3 linked regions of the Drosophila melanogaster genome follow. The protein of the gene in region 3 interacts with the protein of the main gene of each other region in a pairwise test. Each region holds a gene or a part of one and is shown on either strand. Other genes may lie near its edges.

The links. Proteins that work in one complex are often made in the same cells at the same time.
Region 1: the proteins of H2.0 (region 3) and Polr3F interact in a two-hybrid assay, tested with the Drosophila melanogaster proteins (one large-scale study listed by BioGRID).
Region 2: the proteins of H2.0 (region 3) and aspr interact in a two-hybrid assay, tested with the Drosophila melanogaster proteins (one large-scale study listed by BioGRID).

What each region holds. Positions count from the first base shown.
Region 1 is NT_033777.3:22,364,313-22,368,972, reverse strand, and holds Polr3F (RNA polymerase III subunit F), read left to right. Parts: upstream 1-1,599; 5' UTR 1,600-1,619; intron 1,620-1,694; 5' UTR 1,695-1,755; intron 1,756-1,813; exon of another isoform or gene 1,814-1,814; 5' UTR 1,815-1,818; coding exon 1,819-2,211; intron 2,212-2,269; coding exon 2,270-2,758; 3' UTR 2,759-2,893; downstream 2,894-4,660. Other genes in the region: CG5382 (uncharacterized protein), read left to right, coding at 3,160-3,261, 3,325-3,436, 3,504-3,697, 3,753-3,954, 4,016-4,305; CG7071 (uncharacterized protein), read right to left, coding at 4,466-4,660. UniProt on the Drosophila melanogaster protein: DNA-dependent RNA polymerase catalyzes the transcription of DNA into RNA using the four ribonucleoside triphosphates as substrates. Specific peripheric component of RNA polymerase III which synthesizes small RNAs, such as 5S rRNA and tRNAs.
Region 2 is NC_004354.4:20,146,441-20,155,390, reverse strand, and holds the start of aspr (asperous), read right to left. Parts: upstream 7,268-8,950; 5' UTR 7,133-7,267; coding exon 7,130-7,132; intron 5,330-7,129; coding exon 5,155-5,329; intron 4,794-5,154; coding exon 4,555-4,793; intron 4,447-4,554; coding exon 4,365-4,446; intron 1,194-4,364; coding exon 577-1,193; intron 293-576; coding exon 83-292; 3' UTR 1-82.
Region 3 is NT_033779.5:6,012,005-6,022,250, forward strand, and holds H2.0 (homeodomain protein 2.0), read right to left. Parts: upstream 7,399-10,246; 5' UTR 7,190-7,398; coding exon 6,673-7,189; intron 2,093-6,672; coding exon 1,596-2,092; intron 1,494-1,595; coding exon 1,251-1,493; 3' UTR 1,055-1,250; downstream 1-1,054. Other genes in the region: CG9098 (uncharacterized protein), read right to left, coding at 1-107, 175-232; CG13996 (uncharacterized protein), read left to right, coding at 8,846-9,160, 9,213-9,668. UniProt on the Drosophila melanogaster protein: May play a role in pattern formation during embryonic and imaginal development. Is not essential for visceral muscle morphogenesis.

The DNA.
Region 1 (4,660 bases), on a different chromosome or scaffold from region 3:
ATAAAGATATTATCAAATGGAAAAGATAGAGGCTCAAATTATCATTCGATATTTAAGTATAAGTAAAGTGTTTAGCAGGATCAAGATATGCTATTGTGCCAACATACCCTAACTCCCTTCGCGTAAGGGGATGCGAAAAGTTTATCCAAAAAGGAAGCTCCGAAGTTAACTGGCGCAAAGCTCCGTTGCTAGGCTGGCCGGCAATCGGATAGAACAGAAGGTTCAACGATCCATTACGATTATTAATTTTTGCATATAAATTTGCATTGTACAGAAGTATGTGTATATATGATTATATGGACACGTGATGTCAGTATGTGTGTGCGTGGTAAACAAAAAACCGATCATCAGCTGTTAGACGGCGCTTATCAGCTGGCAATACAGAAAAAAAGCAACGCGGAAAAGAGCCCACTGTCCAACTGTCCCACTTCCACCTAGAATTCCACTGTGCTGACCTTGACAACCTAATCTCCTCCACAGAAAACAGCTTCGTCTCGCTCGCACTGCCATTATGCAAGTGCGTGAGCATCTACTTTCCTTTTATCTTCCGCTCTCTCTTTCGCTCATCGTGAGTGACACGCGCAGAAACCGTGCAAGTAAAGCTCGCCGGCCTGCAGCTTTTGTCGCCGGAAAACGCACGAGAAAAGTTCTGAAAGTGAAAGTGCTTTTCCAGGCTTCAGTCAATATGTAATGAGTACTATGTGCCGTACTATTTAACCTTGAACTTGTGGATAAAGGACGTTAGCGCCGTTAACATTTTGAAGCTCGGGTCTGCAACAACAAATGCTTATCACTGAGACGCCGAAACAGCAACAAAATTTCAAATATAATTCAGACAATCCGGCACAGAGCAAATTTATGCAAAATTACTCATCATCGCTGAAAGCGTCGTCGTCACAGAGCAATTAAACAATTGCGATAGTGGAAGTTTACAGCGGTTCAAGATTATTATTGCTGCATTATTTCCGATGGCATGTTTAATAGGGTGTGATTGCGATGGTGTAGGTTATTTTACTTGTGGCGCGCTCCGCATGGAATGACTTCTATTTCACCTTTACACATTTCGCTAACGAGGTTCTTTTGAGATTGTATGGGTGTGCGAATTGAATTCGCAGCCGTGCTTGTGTGTATGTGTTTTGTGAGGCGGCAAACGCAATTCTACATAATGTGGAGAAATTGCTTGCATCATCAACAACAGCAAAAACAAATGTCTTGCCCCCGCCAATTTCGTTAGCAAAATTTCTAGCGTATTATAATGGAATGATGTTTAGCTTGAGGTCGTATCAAGAAGATCTGATAATTACCTGTTTTTGACAGTAAAGGTGAACTCGCGGAAAGATGTATTTGCTCTTCCTGTTTTGGAATTATTTTAATTCAATTTAAATGCACAGGCAGCGAACACTCCAATCAGAAACAGTGCGTCCGGCGATCTGTTCGAAAAAACAGTTGGCACCAATGAGCCTAAAAAAGCCACTCGTTTTTAAAATAAATACCATTTGGTATATACATACCAGATTCACGATATAACATTTGGGGTCTTCGGAAAGCTTTAAATTTTATTTAAAGCAATTTGTAATAAAGCCTAAAACATATGCTCCTTATTTATCCTCATTTATTCAGTTGCGTAAAGTATTATTTTTAATAGAACAAACTTATATTTTTAAAATTGGTTTGTGATTTTTGTTATTTTTTAGCTTCTTCTTAGCAGCGGTAGCCATTCGCCCGGAACCGTTTGTTTTTGTTTTGCTTTTCACGGTAAGCGTGTTGTTTTTCTCGATTTAATTGAATTTTAAATAACAAATTTTCGAGAATAGAAAAATGGCCACTGAGGTGTCGCAACTTTTGCTGGCGGTGGTCCAGGGCATCCCAGCCGGTGCCACCAACGATGACCTGACCAAGGCGCTGCCCGATGTGCCGGCGGCCACGCGGGTGGAAGCTTTGAATATACTGCTGCAGGAGGGCGGGATCGAGATCCTGAAGAAGGGTGAAAAGCTGGTGTACCGTGCCAAGGACCCGGAAAAGAAGAGTGCCCTGCCCAAGGATGCGGACAATGAGGAGAAGGTCGTCTACGGCATTGTTGAGGAGGGCGGCAACAAAGGCATCTGGATTAGGGATATACGTATGAAGTCCAACCTGAACATGATACAGCTCAACAAGATCCTCAAGAACCTAGAAACCAAGAAGCTCATCAAGGCGGTCAAGTCGGTGAACGTAGGTTCTATGATCCCATATTCCAAGTTCAATGTGATTCCAAATTTTCTTCGCGCAGGCCAGCAAAAAGAAAGTGTACATGCTGTACAACCTAGAGCCGGATCTCTCCATTACGGGAGGAGCCTGGTACCAGGATCAGGACTTTGAGGTGGAGTTTGTGGATGTGCTCAACCAGCAGTGCCTGCGCTTTCTGCAAATGAAACGCGACAGTGCGGAAAAGAAGCGCGAGGGGCCACTGGCCTTCAAGCAGATGTCTTGCTGCACGGTGAACGAGGTTCAGAAGTTCATCTCGGACTTGGGCATCAGCAAGGTTAATCTGGCGGAGGCCGATCTGGAAACAATTCTCAAAACAGTGGTGTACGACGGCAATGCGGAGCGAGTGCGCCAGCAGGATGGATCCTTCGTCTACCGGGCGGTGAACGCCCCACTTCCTCCGACTGGTCTGGTCCAGATGCCATGTGGCATTTGTCCCGTCATCAAAAACTGCTCCAATTGTGGCGATGTAACTGCTATAACTTGTGAATATATGCGAGATTGGTTGGATTAGGGATTAGCTCGAAAACTCTGGATTTTATTTTATATTAAGTATTACAAATTGAACTTATTGTTTATTAAGCTTTTTGTAGCACAAACATTATTAACTCTTAAATGTTATGGTTACCATAAAAAAAAGGAAAATTTGAAACCGATTTTTTAAATCGCAAACACATATCGTATTTCATCATTCATCGCTACGATATTCGCAGAATATGTCAGCTGGTTGCCAATCGCCCGGAACGCATGAACAGATACGTGGCTGTTGAATATGTGAATGAAAACTCGAAAATTCCGACAAAAGCTGCGAAACGAAATAAAATTTAATTTTATTGAGGCGTTATTATGCGATAGCTGTCCCAAGGCCGCCAAGTGCAATTCCTCCGCCGCCTTAGGAACCCCGAATTTAAGGAAATGGGTTTGTGCAAGTGCCCCAAGCGCCTGGTGACCAACCAGTTTTGCTTTGAGCATCGAGTCAATGTTTGCGAACACTGTATGGTTCAGTCTCATCCAAAGGTAAGGATTCCTGTCCTCTAGTTTTATGGATGCTTGGAATACACCATATCCACTCTTTTTCAGTGCATTGTGCAGTCGTATCTGCAGTGGCTGCGGGACAGCGACTACATCTCCAACTGCACTCTGTGCGGCACCACATTGGAGCAGGGCGATTGCGTGCGCCTCGTCTGCTACCGTAGGGATCTGCCAGTTTTGAGCTAATCCAGACACCACACACTTACCCATAATCCTGCCATTTCCAGATGTTTTCCACTGGGACTGCCTGAACGCCCGCCAAGCCGCACTGCCTGCCAACACAGCCCCTCGGGGTCACCAGTGCCCCGCCTGCAGTGTGGAGATCTTTCCCAACGCCAACCTGGTCTCCCCGGTGGCCGATGCTCTGAAGAGTTTCCTGTCGCAGGTTAACTGGGGCAGAAATGGCCTGGGACTCGCCCTGGTAAGCATTCCGGGCAGTAAGCTTGTAATCAATTTAAATGTTGAATCTTTCCCAGCTCTCTGAGGAGCAGAGCAGCAGTCTGAAGGCCATTAAGCCCAAGGTGGCAAGCCAGGCGGCTGTCAGCAACATGACCAAAGTGCACCACATCCATTCCGGTGGCGAGCGAGAGCGCACGAAGCCCAATGGCCATGACGCCGTGAGCCCACATTCCGTGCTCCTAATGGATGCATTTAATCCCCCAAGTGCGGGCGACTACGGTGCGCATAATCTAGCATACACTTTGAGTCATATTATAATTATAATCTTACGCACCTGCAGCCAGCAGCAGAAGACCGCTGCTGCCCCGTCAGTCGCCAATTGGTGGGACAGATCGAGACGATAATAAGTACCAGCGCCGCACTCCTGCGGAATTGTTCTCGCGATGGACACGCCGCTTCTATGCGCCCTCCTCGCGGCCGCCGTGGCGTCGCACTTGGTTCCTGGTGACCGCCGGCATTTTGGCCTTTGTCTTGTTCGTCTATCTTATGGCCTGGCTGGGTCGCGGAGGATCTGATGCCGTGGACGAGGGCTGGAATAACCCCAATCCACAGCCGAACCACTACGAATAGGGTGTGCATTCACGGTCGAAATAAGCATACGTAGCATATAATCGATATCCAAGTCCCCGATTCCGAAAGAATAAAACTTTTACAGCTATTTATATAACCTAACATTGCAAAGCGAAATAATACAACGACAAAGAACGATTTTTACTCGCAGATCATCTATCTAGTCAACATGGGGTTTCAATGTCTGGACTTGACTTCCCTCGGCGGGCGGGGTGCGCTTAGCCGGCGTCGATGGCTGCGGCTTACGTTTGGGCGCGTCCAAGACCTCATCGTACTCGTGCAGCTTCTTGGCCAGGAAGTACATCTCAGCCAGGGCTATGATGAGCGCTACAATCACGCCCAGCAAGATGCGAAA
Region 2 (8,950 bases), on a different chromosome or scaffold from region 3:
TTGGGATGGGGATTGGCTGGGCGGATGGTGACTGGTTTGGCAGGCAGTGCGGCTCCGGGACTATACGACTCCCCATCCCGCCTCAGTGGTACTTGGCCACGGGAAAGGTGCGCGTCTGGCGACAGGACACCAGGGCGTCGCCCGACTGTCCCTGTGGACAGCGGCAGACAGCCAGGTGGGCCTTGGGCTCGCAGCTGGCTCCAGTGGCACACTTGCCGATGCAGGGATCGATGCACTGGTAGTTGATGCAGGCGCGATGGTCGGGGCACTCGTTGTTGCTCAGGCACTCACCCTGTGGACGAGGGTAAGTGGGTTAGTACAGTAGTTATGCCCCATTATAATGGAGAATGAAGAAGAAGAAGAACTCTATTTAAAATCGAAATACAGACAAAATTTCGACATATTTGCCGTTTCCGCTTAAGAGAGCGTTCGTCACTAGTTTGTCAACTCTTTTTTGGTATAATTAAAAAGTAGAAACAGTAGGAAGAACTCTATGATTGGGATCACCGGATCATCGTAGATAACACCGTTGTTGCCCAATCTGTATGATTGCCTATGATTTGGACAGTGACTCACCCGGGTGCAGTGGCTCAGCGGATTGCCGGTGTGGCCGGGCAGGCAGTTGCAGACGGGCCGCTCGCGGCCGGTGTTGTCGTGTCCGGGCACGCAGATGGCGTTGGTGCCGCACGGATTGGGGTCGCAAAGGTCCTCCTTGGTGAAGGGACGGCAGCGCACGAAGGGATCGCCGGTCATGTCGCGGGGGCAGCTGCAGACGGGTGTGAGGCCGCGCAGGTTGCAGTCGGCGCCGATGCCGCAGGCACCCTCGCAGGTGTTCTTGCAGATGCCGTAGAAGCAGGCGGGTCGCCCGGCCGGGCAGTCGGCATCGCCATAGCACTCCGGTCGGCACTCCGTGTACGGGCTGCCAATGTAGCCCTTGGGGCACTCGCAGACAGCCCGGTGATTGCTGACCGTTCGGCAGGTGGCGCCAGTGCCGCACTGCCCGCATGCCGGCACGCACTTGAAGTTGCTGGAGCACATGTCCCGGCTGCTGCAGTCGCCATCGTGATCGCACTCGTGGCGACAGCCGCTCAGCGGATTGCCCACATAGCCGTGAACGCATGAGCAGGTGGGCACGCCGTTGATGATCTCGCACTTGGTGTTAACGCCGCACGGACTGGGATGGCACTGCTCCTCTGCGGAATGGAATGAGAGATTAATGTTTGGAAATGGACGACACACAGCAGTGTCGTAGACTCGCCCACAAAGCTGTCTGCAACAGTATATTTTGAATGCGGCATGGCGATGATGGATTCATTTCCATCTGAGCAAGACTTTTCAGTAAGTAAGTGCTATATTGCCAAGTTCAAGTGTCGATTTAGTTGAGTCTATGAAAAGTTCAATCGGCCGACGAAGGAAGTTGTTTTCCACCCGACCTTTCACCTTTCACCTTTCACCATCGTTGGGGGTTGTGGCCCCTGTCAACATCCGCTGTTGCTGCCCCATTTTTGATTTATGCCGGGTCATGTGACTTGTGTTCCGGTCAAATCGGGAAAATACCTCCAATGGGGCCAATAATTGGGGGCCGGCCACTCAAAGTGGGCAAATAGAAAATCATATTCAAATAGCCGGGCTCATTTATGCGCATATTTTTGGTTTTTACCCCATATTTTCTTTTATTTTTGCACCAATTGTTGTTACTCGTCGTTCAAGATGATGATGATGATGATGGTGATGATGATGATGATGATGATGGTGGTGGTGCGGTGAGCAAGTCAAGAAATTAGTTTGCGTTGTTTTCCGTTCCGATGGCAAAAGTTTCGCCATTATCAGGCCTTTTCTCTTACATTTCCTTTTGACATAATTTGCGAGAAGCAGCAACTTTTCCGCGCCGGGAAAATGTATTGTAATGAAATGTGGAGTTCGGTTTTGAAAATCGATTGCAAAATGTCTTGCAACGAAAGTCGGAAATGCTCGTCGTCGACATTAAATCGATGTATTGGTAGATTTTCTTCGAAATATATAGCTAACCAAATAGTTATTTTTTATTATCGGCGTGGCAAACGCATTGTGGACCTTTAAATGTTAGCAATTCATTTGTATTCCTGCACGAAATCTTTAAGGCAAATGTCCGTGAATGTTTTCAGTTGGTCTGCAACACGCCCAAAGGGAATCGCAACTGCTTCGGCTCCCCAGGAACATGAATGGAAAAGAATCCGGTGTCCTTGGGGCGGCAGCAGGGAACATCATGGAGCAGGGAATCCGAGCTACTTCCATTCCCCGCAGACTGTTCGTTTGCAATTATTGTTTCCAAGTCAGTTGCTAATTGGAAATGCAAATAAATATTGTATTTCAATGGGAATTGCACGCAAACGGAGGCCGGAGTAAAGGCAACACAGAAAGGGATTTAAGTGAAATCAAGAATATATGTATATCGGAGGACCAGTTAAGATGCAGAAATCGGAAAAGGGGCGAGAAATGCCAGGCCCTTGGACTCGACACGAATCCCGAATGAGCAACCAACGTAGAGATGCAATTTATTGACGCCGACTCTTGGACGGACAGCAATTGAAATTGGTTTTCAACTGACTTTATTTTAAAGAAATTCAAGCCAAAGATAATATTTAGCAGCTCAATATTGGCGTTAAAAGTTAAGGAATATAATAGATTCGTTGAGGTAGAAGACCCCCCCCCCCCCCCCACCCATCAAATAATTTCCTGGTTAGAAGTTCTAGTTAATTTGCCTTTTGAACATGTGCGTTTGTCCGTTCGTATAAAAGCCAGAATGTTGGTAATAAACAAGCAGGTCCTAGTGACATTTACACCGCTCAACTTTCACGGTCACAATTTAGAAAAAAGCTTTCAATTATGTGTTAATTTTAATATTTATAGTTAAGAAATTCCCAGCAGGAATTATTTCAACTAATGACGGAACCTGCGCTTAGCCACTATTTATGGCAAGTTCTGAATATGAAGTGTTTGGAAATGTTACTATTCCCATTTAGAACGCTTAAATATTTAAGCCGATCAAATTACGTTCAGTGTGCTTCAGTTTGTCGTTCTAAAGATGATATTTTTCAATCAGTTTCTTGCAGTGTAGCCCCCGGGTGGATCAAGTTGTCTTCTTCCAGCGAAATTCCCAAGCCACTCGGCCGACCTGTGCTACCTGAATGGTAGCTGGCCGACCTGCGCAGCTTATGACCATAATCGGATGTTGACTGGTGCCTAACCGGGGCCACCTTTCGGTTCCGTCGGATTCCAGCTCTACTAGGCTCGACTACGGACACTCGTTGGCCTTGAGAGCTCGCCCACTGCGTCCTTGATCTTGACAATTGCGAAGCGAAATGCTATGCTAATTACCATAAAATTACAAAGGCCCCAAGTGTTGGGCGTTGGCCGTTGGCTTTGGATTATTATTATTATTATTATAATTCTCATTATCATCGAGTGCAAAATGTTATGCAAGCAAGGTAAACCCACATGCTGTCCAGAGGCCCAGCCCCCTGTTTTTGTCAATACACTAGATTTGACCAAATTTGGCAATACCACTTGGATTTGCGACGTCATCTTGCCACTTATCTAGCACCTCATTGTGGAGAAGGGATTCGCGAGTGGGCTAATTAATCGATGTACCTATGTCAATCCATGTCTATATCTATGCATTTCCGGAACAATCAGTCGTATGTCCACTTTGCATTAATGCAAAAAAAAAATAATAATAATAAATAAAACATAATAAACAACATGAGTTGTTTACAAATTGTTTACAAATATGTCGCGATCTATGTGTTCATTTAGTTTGAAATTTTTCTATTAGACAAGGCATTGCATTATGCCAATTTTCAAGTGCATTCGTGTATTGCCAATAATTTTAACACTGCAAACACTCCGCTCCTCTTGGTTCATCTCATTGTTATGTAACTCAGTAAAGAAACCTGTTTGCCCTTGATTTAATTCAAGTGGTCAAGGCTTATTTCTCGGCTTGGTTTTCACATCCACACTATGTATGTACATACATGTATGATCACTTGCATCTTTTAGCTAATTAAAATTTTAACCAGCTGATGATTGTAATTCATATATTATTAGTACATAATCAATGTTAAGATGTGCGCGTTAAGAACTAAGAGCTTTTAATTGATTCGATCATCTACTAGTACATATATCTTTAAATTGTGCATTTCTCAGATTTCCCAATTAATTAATTTATTTAATCGTGAAACGAAATACACAATCGAAGCGGATTGATTTCAACAGCTCCCAGTTGAGCGAACGACTCTTATGACACCCGGCATTTTAATCGATTTTGAGCTCTGCCACGCCTACCCCGCGGCATGTGGGCGGTAGTGGAGTGGTCAGGCACTTACCCGGATCGTTGAGGTGGCAGGCGTGGTATGGGTCGCCATTGTAGCCGGCGGGGCAGCTGCACACGGCCACGTGGTTGCGGGCCTGGAAAGAGCAAGCGGAGGTGGCGTAGAGTGCCGATGGTCAGAATGCGAGGGAATGCGCCAGAAGTTGGCCGTGGAGGAGTGTTGGCGACATAAAAGTCCCACTTACGTCACAATTGGAGCCAATGCCACAGGCACCCACGCAGGGATTAACGCAGCGATTGTCCTTGCACTGCAGGTTGTCGCGACAGTCGACGTTGTCCAGGCACTCGCCGCGATTGCAGTGGGTGAGCGGATTACCGCTGAATCCGGGCGGGCACGAGCAGACGGGCCGTCCTCCGGAGGCCTCCTGGCACACGGCGTTCACGCCGCACGGGCTACCGCTGCATCCGCTCGCGTAGGACTGCGCTGTGTGGGCGAGAGGAGAGGAGAGAGGCACAGGCGGTGAGGTGATGCACTGGTGCGCAGGTGAACTTGTGTCTCAATCTAATCTCTAATGCTACGCTACTACGAGTATGGTATGTACATACATATGTATACTATACTATACTATACTATACTATACTATATACTATACTATATATATATAGGGGTTAGGGGTTAGGGGTTAGCTACTGCAGACACATTTGGGGCGCGGGGTCAATGGTCAAGGATCAAGGGTCAAGGGTCAGGGGTCAGGGTGCTGGCGGCGGTGCTCTCCTCCTATGTACATCGTGCTGGTGCGGTAAGACTACGAATACGGATACTGATAGGCAAGCTGTGTAAATACCACGTGTGTAGACCGGATCTCTATAGACAACCCGCTGCAGGGATCGCCCATCGCCGTAGGTGTAGTAAGTGCGGTACGTGCAGTTCACGCAGCGCTTCCCCAGCTTTTTACCTGCGGCCAGTTGGGGCAAGGACGCGATGGCCACCGCCACCAGGGCCACGACCAGGAGCTGCTGCTGCAAGAGAAGGATCAGCTGCGATTAGTGCTGCTATCACTTGAATTTAAATTCAATACGATACCGATCTAAGATGAATATAATATTTGAATATATTTGAATACTAACTTGAAGTAACTCCAAATGGAGTGCATTCACTAGTTCTCATTAGTAACGAAACTAAATAAAAGACAACGGTAATACAAAGATAAATGTCATATTCTGCGTCAATCGTAGAGCCAGTCGAATGAAATGAGTTTGAACTGGATTGGGATTCATTCACTAAAGTATTCGATATGAACAAACATCTCAATCGAGAAGCGAGTATCACGCCCCCTTTGCCGGTTTATGTGTCATAATCGCATTCGAGTTCTGAAAAAGCCCAATAAACATGACTAACTCGATGATCCGCTGTTTGGTAGCAAACATTGGCTTGGACTTGGACTCTCAGTGGTCAGTGGGATTCTGGTGGCACCATGTTTGGGCTAACTGGGCATGGAGATGAGACGAGACGAGACGAGACGATCGAGATGATGATATGGCTTCGCTCTCAAGGTGGCGATCATTGTTGGCGAATGACACATGGGTGATAAACTTGTTGTCCGCTTCTTTGGAAGCTCAATTCGGGCTAAAAACAATTATTCAAATATCGGCATACAATAAGAATATGCAAATGGGGGTCGGCTGCCTTTTCGAATTACTCTGAATGACCAATATGGTAGTCCATGTTCGTATCAACTAAGTTGTCGATCATCGCGTAAATGGCACGGATGGATCCACCGAGGGAGGAAATTGGATTTTTTTCTTAAATCACACATCTTGCAGGGTGATTTATAATCTGATTACATTGCGCAAGGGAAGTGAAGTGAATCAGAGCCATATTTGTTATATTATATATGTACATACATATGTACATTTAAATAATTGCTTTTGGAAGGGCGAGAACTAAATAGTCAACTATATAATCTGTTCAATCTTGAATTAGTTAAATAAAACGTAAAACCTGTCAGAGTTTAGATTAAATTAATGCTTTCTAAATTTAAATAATGAGCAAGAAAATGTTAAGTGCTCAACATAAGTAGGTAAAAAGGTAAACAATTCAAATCTATTGGACTTTTTACTCTTCTCGTAATGGCAATTAAAATAACAAGCTATGCTAAAGTGCTAGAAACTAATTGGTTTGTGTTTTTGGCTTTGTGCACAAACAAATGAATAATGGGCTTGATGTTTACTTGGGCAGCTTAAAAAGCGTTGAGTGATTGATCATCGCCAAAAAAAACAAAAAAATGGGCAGATAAAAGGCAGATCGAAGACACTCAAAAGAATAAACCGATCGTGGGCTTCAGAAACATTACGAGTATGTGGGAATATTTCTTGGTTCATTCGATGTATTTGCAAATCCATTCACCACTATTCATCTAGCCGGAAGTAAATAGCAAATAGCAAAGTTAAGTCCTTACATTGTGAAATGAATATTTTTTTTGTCGTGTTTGCTTTAAGTACATCAATATTCCATTCACGTATCATTTACTGAATGCATATTTTATGTATTGCCTTTGTGCGTAATTTTTTCACTTAAGTTTTCGCGGTGAAGAAAATAAACAGCAAATAAATGTGCAAGTTTAAATCTATATACTTATTCGTGATTCAGATTCTTTCCTTAAATCGAACCCATTTTTATTACTTTTATAAAATTGTTTATAAATTATCCATCGTTGATAGATTGCTTCAGTTTAGATGATTTAAAAAAAAAAAAGGATATATTCCTTAACACACGTTTATATATACATATTGATTTTGGTTATTCCCACTGCAACTCACCATTTTCGGGGTTCAGTTCTTAGAAAACACTAGCACTACAGCAGATAAAGAACGTAAAATAAAAAACAAAACAAAAAGTGTCAACTGATAAATGGTTGCGATTTCCCACTTGGCACGCTTCGCTTTCAACTGAGTCGGCTTCTAGACGAGCTTGGGCTATTTATAAGGCCGCAACTCTTAACTTGGCCGAGAAACAGCTGAGCGACGTTGGCGTCATCTCTCAGCTGCTCTGCTCTGCTCTGATCTGCTCACCTTCCCTTCCCGAATTCCCCTCTACCCCGCATCCACAACCCTTCCACTTACACAGAGAAAAAACTATAGTATAGCTTGATATTAAAGATTTGTAAAGTAAATTATCTCTCCTCAGGTAGTAGCATCCAATAGTTGTTGTAATTTTAACAAAATAAAGATCGGAATTTACCAAATTCATTAGTTTTATAACTAATTTACCATTATGTCTGCATAAGTTCAACTTGCTAAACTAGAAACATTTCGAGTAACGAAAGCAGTAGATCAAATTGATGAAGTAGTTAATTTAGTTATATATATTTGTTCAGCCTGTCAGTTGGAAAACTATTTTTCCCAATGCACCAGCATTCTGTCTCATAACTCTGTTTGACAAGCTTGTTTTGCTGTTTGTTGACTTTGTATATTGTGCTGCTCGATTTTAGCTAAAATCATTTCAGTCCAAATCGCTTCTCAGACTGAGTCATTCGTACACACATACATATACATATATATACATATATTTGCCTGGGCATCGGGCTATTTATATACGCGTACTTGACGCGACTTTGCTTCGGATTGTTTTGGTCATGCCTTTGCTATGATGGCTCGATTTCTGCGTGGGCCGCTGCATCCAAGTGCCGTGGGTCGAACTTGGCTGGGCTTCCTACTAAACACGGCTCCGGATCGTAGGCAACTTGGCTGTGAACGAAGAAATTGCCCACTTGACACAATGGGCAGGTCGCTAGTACTAGGCGGTACCTGGTAATATATGTACACACATATTTCTGAAAGCATCCAAAACTAAGCGACTCTTTATCTTTGTAGGATTTAAAAGACAGTTATGTCATTTAAATTTACAAATCTATTATACTATAATTTATACCGATTCTTCAAACAGAATGTATCTTATCCGCACCGGATGCCTATTACTACTAACTGGGGGAAATATTCAATATGGTCATTTCGCTAAGGTTTTTTCTTCTTTCTATTTCTTCTTAATTGGGCATAAGATATATGTAGATAATCGCATTACAAAATTTAATTAATTTCACGAATTTACATATTTTTCAATCTGAAATATGTCGGAAATTGAGGAGAACAAAAAATCGCCCATTTCCGTTCAAATAGTAAGCGAAAAGAGAATATACATAAATGAAAGAAAATAAAATTTGAAAAAAAAAAAAAACTGAGAGGCCGTAAATATTCTTGATTAGCTTGAGGTATTCCGATTCACTCATACCACACAATAAGCCAATTGGGTATTTCATTGAACATCTTCACTAACTCACTCTACCGTTTCCTAAGTCCATTTCAATGGCATTCGAGTTTAAAATATAAGCTTAGCAAGACCGGCTCCACTTTCATTCGATATCAAAAAGAACGGATTAAGAACAAACGAATCTGCACTGGAATCGAGCCAATTAAAACGAGAATCTTGACTTCTGCTGGCTGCGTGGGCATTGGTTAGAATGAATAATAGAGATGGTTTGACCTATAGCAATAAGATAATGACCATTTGCCAATTTGCAATCGACTACCATTTTCAAATGAAATGGCATCATTGAATGGCATCGCTTAAGCTCCGCAAATCGA
Region 3 (10,246 bases):
CAGAAGGTCCAGCCACTCGCTTATGCTCATCCTAGAGTTGTGCACCATTACGGCCAAATCTTCGCGACGACGCACTGTGTTCGAGTACCGAAAGTTCCACAAAATGCCTACGAAGCGGTTACGAAATGTGTGATCATTATGATCAGAATCGGAAACCGTATTTTCGCCACTCACTGCTCCTCCGATTCGGCACTTGGCGGTTCTCCAGTTGTCGGGCTTGGGTGTTGCCCATGTTGCCCAGGCTATCTTTGCAAATCCAATGTGCAGATCTGAAAGATCTTTAAATTCTGGAGCAGTACCAAACACCTAAGCTGAAACTCAACCGCGCACTTCGCTTTGGGAAAAACAACTGAACGTGAGCAAATGTTGCCCAAACAGACTTCTTCAACTGAGCTGAAATTGCATATGTCATTCACCGACTGTTAAATACCCTAAAGGAATTACGCATATAATTATAAATCATATATGAACGTAAGATTGCAGCTAAAGTATGAGTAATATATATTTATTGTTTCTATTCTATTCTCTATTTAGTAATGTTCTTTAAATTCAGCTATAAATCGTTGTTATTTTTTTATAGTTTTCTATAATTTCAGCGGAGTCTTAAAGTAATTGAAAAAATGAACGAACTCAGCCAAAGAGACCGACAATGACAATAAAGCCCAAGTGAGTAAGATTTCAATGTCGTGCACCAACAATTTACCCTCACTGTTTTTCTAATTAGTGCTCTATATCCGCAGTGCCCCCTCCTCTCACTCCCCTGTCGCGATCCACCAACCGATCCGATCGTATTGGATAAACCCATTCGCACCCCCGCGCTTGACCAACTCACTCCAGTCGTATTTGCTCTGGCCATTCAGTCGCGTATCGTCTTTTATCGTTCACTTGATTAGAGAAGGTCTCCCCGTTGTCGCCGAGTTTCATATTCTGCTGATCGCAGCGGTATTTGCTTAATTAAAATTTCTGTTCTTGCCGCGTAGCATTGCGTATTTTTATAGCTTCATTCTATGGAATAGTGAATAATAAATTAATAATAAACCAAGCTGTGAATTCACAAGTTCATTTTACTAGAGAATTTATTTTAAATAGTTTACACATAAACGTTTAGATTATCTTACAGATTGAAATAATTTAAGTTCACTTTGTGCAGTATCTGTCTACTTTACATTACATTACAACTAGCAATGAAGGAATAAATACATCTACATGGCATTTTACACGTGTAAACGGAGCTATCTACATAGGCGGCTCTACTCCACCACATTGATTTCAATATTATCATCTTCGTCGGCCTGCTCGCTCAAATCCACACTGGAGCAGCTATCGGAACTGTAGTCGAGTGCCTCCTGGGGCGTACCATCACCGGATGGCGTGGATGTCTTGAAGACACCTCCGGATTCGGGTACTGCACTCGGCTGCTTCTCCTGGCCACTCTTCAGATTCTCGCGCGTGTGCCGCCACTTCATGCGACGGTTCTGGAACCACACCTTGACCTAATCAGGGTATAAAAATAATAATATATTGGTTTTTATAGAGCTATGAAAGGAGTCGAATGTGCAAATGTTAAACTATGAAAATCCCATCTTTTAACTAACCTGAGCGTCGGTGAGATTCAGTCGTGCCGCCAGCTTGCGGCGATCTGGCTTGGTGATGTACTTCTGCTGCTGGAACTGAATCTCCAGGCCCTTGCGCTGCAGATTCGAGAAGACGGCGCGAGACCAGGATCGCTTGCGCTTCCCATTGCTTCCGGCTGAGGCGTTGCCCTGGCCATTGCCACCTCCATGTCCATGTGCACCGTTCTGGGATGTGGCAGCGGCGGCGGCGGCGGGCGAGGTGGGCGCTATGTCCAGGAGCTGCTGCGGCGTCTTGCCCAGAAATCGCTGCTGCTGTTGCGTCAGCTGGAGGCTCGTGAGGCTGTGGAGCGGCGCCAGTAGCGCCGAGGCTGTCGTCGAGTTGTGTGGCGGGGGCTTGTGCTGCTGATGGAGGTGTTTGGGATGGTGCTGATGATGATGATGCTGCTGGTGCTGCTGCTTCTGATGTTGATGGAAGCGGAGGAGCGCATTGGTAGCCAGCGTGGGATAAGTGGGTGCGGCTGTTCGGGAATGGAATGTTAAAGTCAATTGGGAGATTCATACTTCCTTCATTAGCAATAACTCTTAATTTGTTGCTATACTGAATCCGGTGCGTTTTTTACGCACCAATTTGGATATTTATTTTTATAGGAAAACTACCATTAGTTATGGACAACATCCTCCCTTGGTAGCACATTGCATCCGCAGGAAATAATACATTTATCGCCGGCCAAAGAAATGATACTTGTTTCGCCAAAGAAAATATGAAATTCAATTTTTTGTGTTTTCTGAGTAAATTATTTTGATCAATAAAATGCATGTTGAGAATTTTTAAATGGGCTTGTTTATAATAAAATTTTCACTTAATTGGAAATTATCATTGAAGCGTTTTGTGGCTAGGGGGGGCAAACGAAATTTGTTTACTTCTAGCGCGAATCTAAACAACAACAATTACCTCTAGAGATCCAAAATTATTTGGGGTAATCGAACACGACATGGGGCACACGAGGTTGAGGTCGAACCAGGGTGCTTTACTTCCCTTAAATGTTTTTTAAATATCCAAGAATTTATACACGCAGTAAGAAACAATTCGAATGACGTTGACTTTCCTATTGTATTTCCAATCATTATTGGCATTTACTATCCTTTATCTAACTACTGAGTTTCAATCAAGATCATTACGGCATTTATCAACTCAAAGGACTCCGCTGAAAAGTATGCTACAAAAAGTTCCTTTGAATCCTCAGTTCACGATAATGTTCACTAATGTTGATATGAAATGTAATCCTGATGTTGTTAAAAGGCCACAATTTTAATTCCTATCCTTGACTTTTTCATTGAATTTTATTTGATTTCAAACTGCAAACCATTCCTCTTTGTTTGTAGCCAACGCTAAATTATCATAGGTATTTTTTATTGCCTTTTTAACGTTGTGCTATGTGGAATTCGATTTGTTTGTGTGCTCGCGGCATGCGCCTAATTGTTTTCGAGATCGAGCGTTTTATTTACTTAAGCAACACACTACTCGATCGATTGTGTGTATTTACACTGCAGCGGAAATGCGCTTCTGCACTTGTGGATACAATTGTATCTCAATCCGTGCGCTTGTGTATCTGCATCGGGAACGCCAATGGAATCTCAGCACATCTGCAGGGGCTAATAACGCCTTAATTGGCCGTTTTGGCATTTGGCTTGTGTCAACCATCGGGGGTTTGTTATAATGAGTTTTCACCGACTTTCAACACCTTGGATGTTGGCCGGGGCATTGGGGTTCACTCACAGCGCGAGATCATTAATTGCCGACTTTCCCGTTCAGATACATTTACAAAATACCGCCAGCGGACCCGTAAATATCTTAATGAGTTGTGATAATTTTTCGGATGCCATCTTAAATCACTCAAGGGTCTGGGTTGCAGATGCATCTCCAGTAGGATGTGTTTGCGAATCGTACATTTCGCAGCCATATTTAAGTTGCATCGATTTATTAGCACGATGCATTCCACATTTACGACTTGGCGAATATTGTGGCTTATTTCGCGGTAAATTGCGAATGATCTTTTGGGGTTAAGCAGAGCACTCCCAGTGGGCCATGTGCTATGGAAATTTCGACTACCAGCTCGACAAGCGGAGTATGTGTTTATTTGATTGATTTTAATATATTATACATATGTATCTACTTCCGAACATCCGAATCTCTGACTTTTACCAGCTAACTATGCACTAAGATATATTATCTGCATTATGTACTTTCAAAATATTTAAGTGAAATCAAAAGTATAGCTAATATTTCAATTGTATATTTCGTGAAATATCTTTAGCTACTTGGGATTGTCGTCAATTTTCACTCAATTCATTATAGTTAATCCTATAGTTGTGGTATCTACATACATATATCAGTCCCGTTAATTTGAGTTGAGTGCGTGGTAATTATTATTGCTACAACCCTCCCCTGCTGTTGGGAACTTGAGAAAGAGTCTTCAAAGTTCCAAAAGAAATCGTCTGAGGGCCATCATTAATCAGGGATCTTCGAACGCTTTGAAAGTGCATCTATCAGTTGGATTAACATATAAATTGCTAATTAATTAGACCCACGGCGCCGGATTATTGTTCAGACAGAATTTCCATATCAGACAATGGTCTGTAGCATCCAATCGATCGATGGATGGATCGATTGATCGGCAGCCAGAAGAGCAACAACAACAGATCAACAAACTACTCATCGCCAGGCGGGACAGGCAAACAGCAACAAATAGTCGACGGAGGAGCCGCAGAGATCTCGCTGGTCCATGATTTTATGATGTGCGATGCGATGCAATCAATCCATCACGGAATAATTCCGCAGGGGCCGGCAGGTTGGACACGGCGGGCAGCCACAGGGTAGCCTCCTCCTGAAAAGGCCACCACAGTGGGTGGTTGTGTAAATACTTGGCCTTTTGGCTCGGCCCCCAAAGAACAGCGCATAGTTTCACCCGTGCCCGTGCCCGTACCCATACCCGGTACAGTCATCCATCGGTCAGCAGTTCCCTGTCGTTGGCCTAAACGGCAGCCGAGCCTCATTGGAGTCGGTTGAGCCGCAGTAGTTGGAACCGTGGCGCCCAATCTATCAGAGATCCGCGTCTCTAGCCGGGCCAAAGATGCCTCCACCTGTCGAACTCCTCGGCCGGCGGAACAATTCATTAGAGAGCGGGCAATTAGATGGATAGCTATCTGTATCTGCCCATGAATGACGGGCCAATTGCCCAAGCAAATAAACAAACTGTTCGCCACAAACGTTTTCCACGATCCGTGTGAGCTTGAAGTTTATTTTTAAAGACTGACTCGTAATTTGTTCATAAATTGTTCTTAATTTTCCACTTTGGTCTTTGGCATCTCATCTATTTGCGGTGCCCAAAGGATTGATGAAGCCTTTCAGGTGCTGTCTGTTCTTCGTTTTTTTTTTACCGATCTTTTGTTGATTGAGCTATGTCGAATTTATTCGCCTTACTAATTGCTCCTCCCATTTTTGGCTGAGCAAATGTGTTTGAAAACCACTTAGCACTGATGATAATTTTCATTAATGTTCCATCATTGTGTGAAGTGTAATTTATTTAAGTTTGGCGCTAATTTTGCTACATAATTTAATCGTGTGCTGGAATTTGGCGGAATTTAAAGGGCTATTAGTATCGAATTTACGTTGGATGAATCAACCAAAGTCTTTTTTGAATATGTTTTAGTCGGCTGTTAAAAAATTGTATTTTGCTACTTGTAACTAGGTCTAAACTATAGTAAGCTTTAAGTTAAGCTCGCTAATACCATTTACACATCATTTTAGTATAGCTCCACATATTTGCGGGTCTCTTATTTTGAAATAAATTAATATCTCAGACATTTCCTAATCAATTTATCCATTGAGGAATCCCAAACCAAATATGTATCTCATTTATCCGCAAAAGATCTTTAAGATCGTTTAAGGCCCTCGCATTGTTAGCACCCACTTGATAAGAATTGTGTACAATATTGAATGGGAAAAGGCTGTGCTGACGATATGTATAAAACTCAAGCAGCTTGTTAAACAATGAACAATTTCTATTCGAAAAGCGAAACATTTACCGATTATGTTGCTCTCACTATTTCCATTTCCATTTCCATTTTCACATAAACAAGATCAAAGTGCGCTGGCAGCCTGCAGGCTTTATAAGAAGTCTTCGTCCCCAGATATACAAAAACAGCAGGAAGTACGGCAAATACCCAAAACAATCCGGACTATTTTGTTGTCGATTTCAAAAATCGAATTGTTTTCGTCAAGAGCCAAAGGCGCGGAACATTTGGCCGCAGGAATATTGCACAATATGGCTGCAGATCAACTAATAATTCAAATAAAAACGTGAAATTTATTGGGGCTGCGCCTTAGGTTCTCACTCTTTGTGTTTCCAGGAATGTTCATTTCCCATTTGGCTAAATTCCATTTCACGATTTTCTCTGCAAATCTCAACATGGCTAATAATTATAGTCCATAATTGAAAAACAGAGCGAAATAGCTAAGGAATTTTGATGGGCAAATGGCGAAGCCACCTCATCAACTCGTTTGATCGTTCCCTGAGATCCTGCATATTTCCATGGAAAGAATGCAGAATGATTGACAAATCGCAATATCTGATTAGCTTTGATCAGTTTTATTGGCGCTGCAAGTGCACACAACATACGGGGAGATTGAAATAGTGCAGATGATAGATCGTATCTACAAGATAGAGTCATGGGTATAAAATATTATTTTGATAAGTGGTACGTTGTTGGAACTAGAAGAGGTTCACTGCGAACGAATGATGTTTCAATAGCTTTCTGTATGGAGCTGATTCCTTTTAAGTTTAAAAGTATCTTAAAAATACACTTAGGTACCTATAATCCATGTAATACGGATCAGTACCAATATAGTTCATATTAATTTAAGGCATCCCTTACAGAGATTAAATGTTTTCCTTCTATCAACTCGGTTTGCTCATGATGTTCCAAATGCCGTGCACTTAATGGTAATTTTGAATGATTTACTTTCAAATGGACATTTTTTTTGTAAAACCTGCTCGGATTCAAAGGATGTTCCCTTTTGAGTATAGTGCATCCTTACCGTGTTCTGCTGCCCGAATTGGCGTCGGTCTGAGCACTGATTTGTAATCCATATAGGGGCCAGGGAACAGCTTATCCAGACCCACGAAGGGGTACGTGTGCGATGAAGTGGGTGTGAAAGTGGGCGGAAGCGTGGCATGTCCAAACCTACGGGATTCGGCATTCGCCTGGCTGAAGCAGTGGGGGAAGGAGCAGCAGGCTAGAATGCTGCCATCGCAGCATGACTTGGTCGAGGGCGAGGAGGAGCTCTGCCGGTGGGATTCCTCGGGTTCCGAGCCCAACAGACGATCCACACTGAAGCTCAGCTTGACTTTGGTGGTGCTCGTGGCGCTGGTTGGCGACGTACTGACTATGGTAGTCGAGGCACAGGATTCTTTGGTGGGCAGCTCATGATCGACATTCACTGGATCGGGACACTTTGCCAGCGTTGGATTCACTTCACACTCGCCGTACATGTGAGTGCTGAGGTTCTCGGGCATACTCTGTTCCATGCTGGCGGCACTCTCGTGTAGTAACATTGTCCGGATATGTGTTGTATATGGTTTCTATCTACGAATCTCGACACAGGACACTCAAAACTGATTTCACACGTTCACAATCGATAGGGACTATCTATCATGTCCAAAACACCGTCGCTGTGCACCAATAAAACGATCGCGAATTTTGGCTTAGGTCTCGTGCACCTCCGATTAAACCGCCTTGCAAGACATCCCACTCAGAACTGATCGGAACCGGCCAGGGAGCACGCTCAACCAGCCATCGATTGCCGATCGGCCAGCCAACGCGGAACAGTCTGTTGGCGGTGGGGTTAATCTCGCTGAGATTGTGTATTCCTGGTGCTGACAGTGGGGCAAGGAGTGCGAGATGATCAGGATATAATGCTAACAATAAATAATGGCTATATGTTCGATATACAGGATATACAAACCAGGATATTTTTTTATCCAACGTGTATATTGTTTATAAAGTAATACTCAAGAAGAGTAATACTATCAAGAAAGATTAGATTTTTGGGCTTCGGTTGGTGGTAACATTGGTTTCTATTCCGCTGAAGATCTATATACCTCTAGAAAGTGCCCTAAAATTATGTTAATCCACTTACCATAGACCTGATCCCACTGTAGCCACACACAGATGGGATACCTTGCCATGCCGATCGCTTGTTTACACACAAGCATGCCGCTGTGTCATTAGCTCAGTCGGAGATCGTTTCCTCGAGCGCAGCCGAGATTTGTTTACCGATTTCTCCATATGTTCCCGTACTCCCACACACAGACACACACACCCCATCCGAATTCCGGTTTCCCTGCGCAGAGGCCATGTCGAGTGGCTCGTGGTTCGTGATTTCTGGCCAATGCGATCGATCCGCAGTGGTGGGCGGAGCCACTGGTGGCGCTGATGCGGCATCTCGCTTTCGCGCCCAAGGAATGTGCCTTCCATTGGCTTGGGATTGAGCGATCTGCGCGAACTCCACCTGCTCCACGCTGTCTGGGTTCAATGAAGTGGGTAACCGGGACTGGTGGTCATAAATCAGAAACCGCATTCCACAAGCGGAAATCCGCAAAACGGAACACGAACGGATCGTCGGGGTTGGAAAACTTAAGTAGAAATGTGTAAATTGCGGAGCGAAACTGGCGTTATTAATAGGAAAATTGTCGTGACTACCTTAAGATAGCATACTTTCCGGCACAAAACTCCCATCCAAGCGGGCGGATTTGGTGCCAAAAACACCCTAGCACCACAAGCCCACAAAGTGACCCAGAAAATGTGGAATATGCAAATGCAATGGCAGCGGAAAATCCATCGCCAGTCGGTGACACTTTTATCCTCTTCAAAGTGAAGTCCGATTAATAATAAAATAATCCTTTTTACTTAAAAAAAAAGATTCAGATACATTCCAGGATATGCCGAACGTTCAAAGATACTGATTGGAAAGAGCATGGCTTAAATTCCATTAACCCATTTAAAGTGCAAATTGAGCCTTAGTGATTGTAGCCAACAACTTTTCCCGGAAAATTATAGGGCATACAACAAATGAAAGCGAAACGCAATCAAACTATGTAAACAGACACGAACGCCACTTATTCTTGAGGAATCGCTGGAAACCGCAACCAAATCGTTGCGGGGCAACTCAATTCACTTTGGCCCAGGAACAGTGCGCTGCCACCACTCGAATGGAGTCGTTCTCAGCGTCCAGGTGCTCCACCATACCGTCACCACTGCCGCACAGTGCCAGTGGCATGGACAGTCCGGATATCTGTGAGCCGCCGCAGGATGAGCAGGAGTTCTGCTTTCGCTATCCCAGCTACATGTTTCCGGACGTGGAGTACGACAAGGAGGATGTGCCGCTACCCTTCAAGGCCTCGCCGGACTCGCTCTTCAATCTCTGCGCCGCCGTCGTGGATTCCCAAGCCCGCACTGAGGTCTTCAAGTGGAGCATCAACGATGTGACCGACTGGCTGCGCAACTTTGGTTATCCCGAGTACGAGGTGGGCTAAGATTCTTACTCACTATGTTGGGTAACCTATAGCTTCGTTACAGCAAACTTTTCGGGAGAACTACATTGATGGACACAAGCTGCTGAATCTGGACGCAGTTGCTCTGGTTGCGCTCAACGTTCGCAACTTCGAGCACATCCGCCACCTGGGCCGCGGCATACGAGCGCTTTACAGGAAGGAGCTGCAAACGGCGACGGAGACCAAGCAGCAGAGTGAGGTCTATAAGACATTCCGGGCCCGCACTGGCCGAAGGTACGAGGGATTGCGGGAGACGGAGCTACTGGGCCGCATGCACATGATTCGCTCCGTTTTCCGCGACGTCAACGACTGGGATCTGATGGAGCTGCACATGTCCAGGGCGCCGGTGAGGCGGTATCGCGAGATCGTCGCTGGCTCCAGACGCTACAACCTCTATGGCCCATCGACAGCGCGCCGGGAACCCATCATTACGGACGATGTGGATGCCACACCGTGGTACAACTTCGAGGATTGCTACTGATTCACTTTCAACTTGAAATCGTGGTTAGCTTTTGGAGCAATAAAGTAACTTCTTTAGTGGACAATTAAATTTTAATTGAAGGAACGGTCAGCTTAAATCACTTTCTCTGCGCCATCGACGATAAGCACAAATTGGTGGCTCTCCAAGTCAAATCCTACGACTGCCCCACCTCATTGGATCACCGATGCTGCCCAATCAGTCGACACGGCGCATTGATCACTTATCGCTCTGAATTGTTGCTTTTGCTGTTGTTTTGTGGAGGGGTAGTGGGGGACTGGGAACTGGGGACTATAGGATCAGTGTTGTTACCGTCGAGAGCCGTCCGCATTCGCGTCCGCTCACGTGTTCAAATTTATTGATTGTTCTGCTCACAAGACACGGCGTTCCAGCTTTTCCTCCGCAATCCAGCGAACTGAGCTTCGCTCTGAGTTTTGAGATCTGGGCACGGCGTCCAGCTGTGCGGCATGGGAGACGTACGTGTGGTCGGCTTATGTTATATTTCCCGACATCTTGTGTGTCCGTCGATCGGTGGGTGAGCATAGCATAGACCGAGATTGAGTCCCCTGCTCAGAGCTATG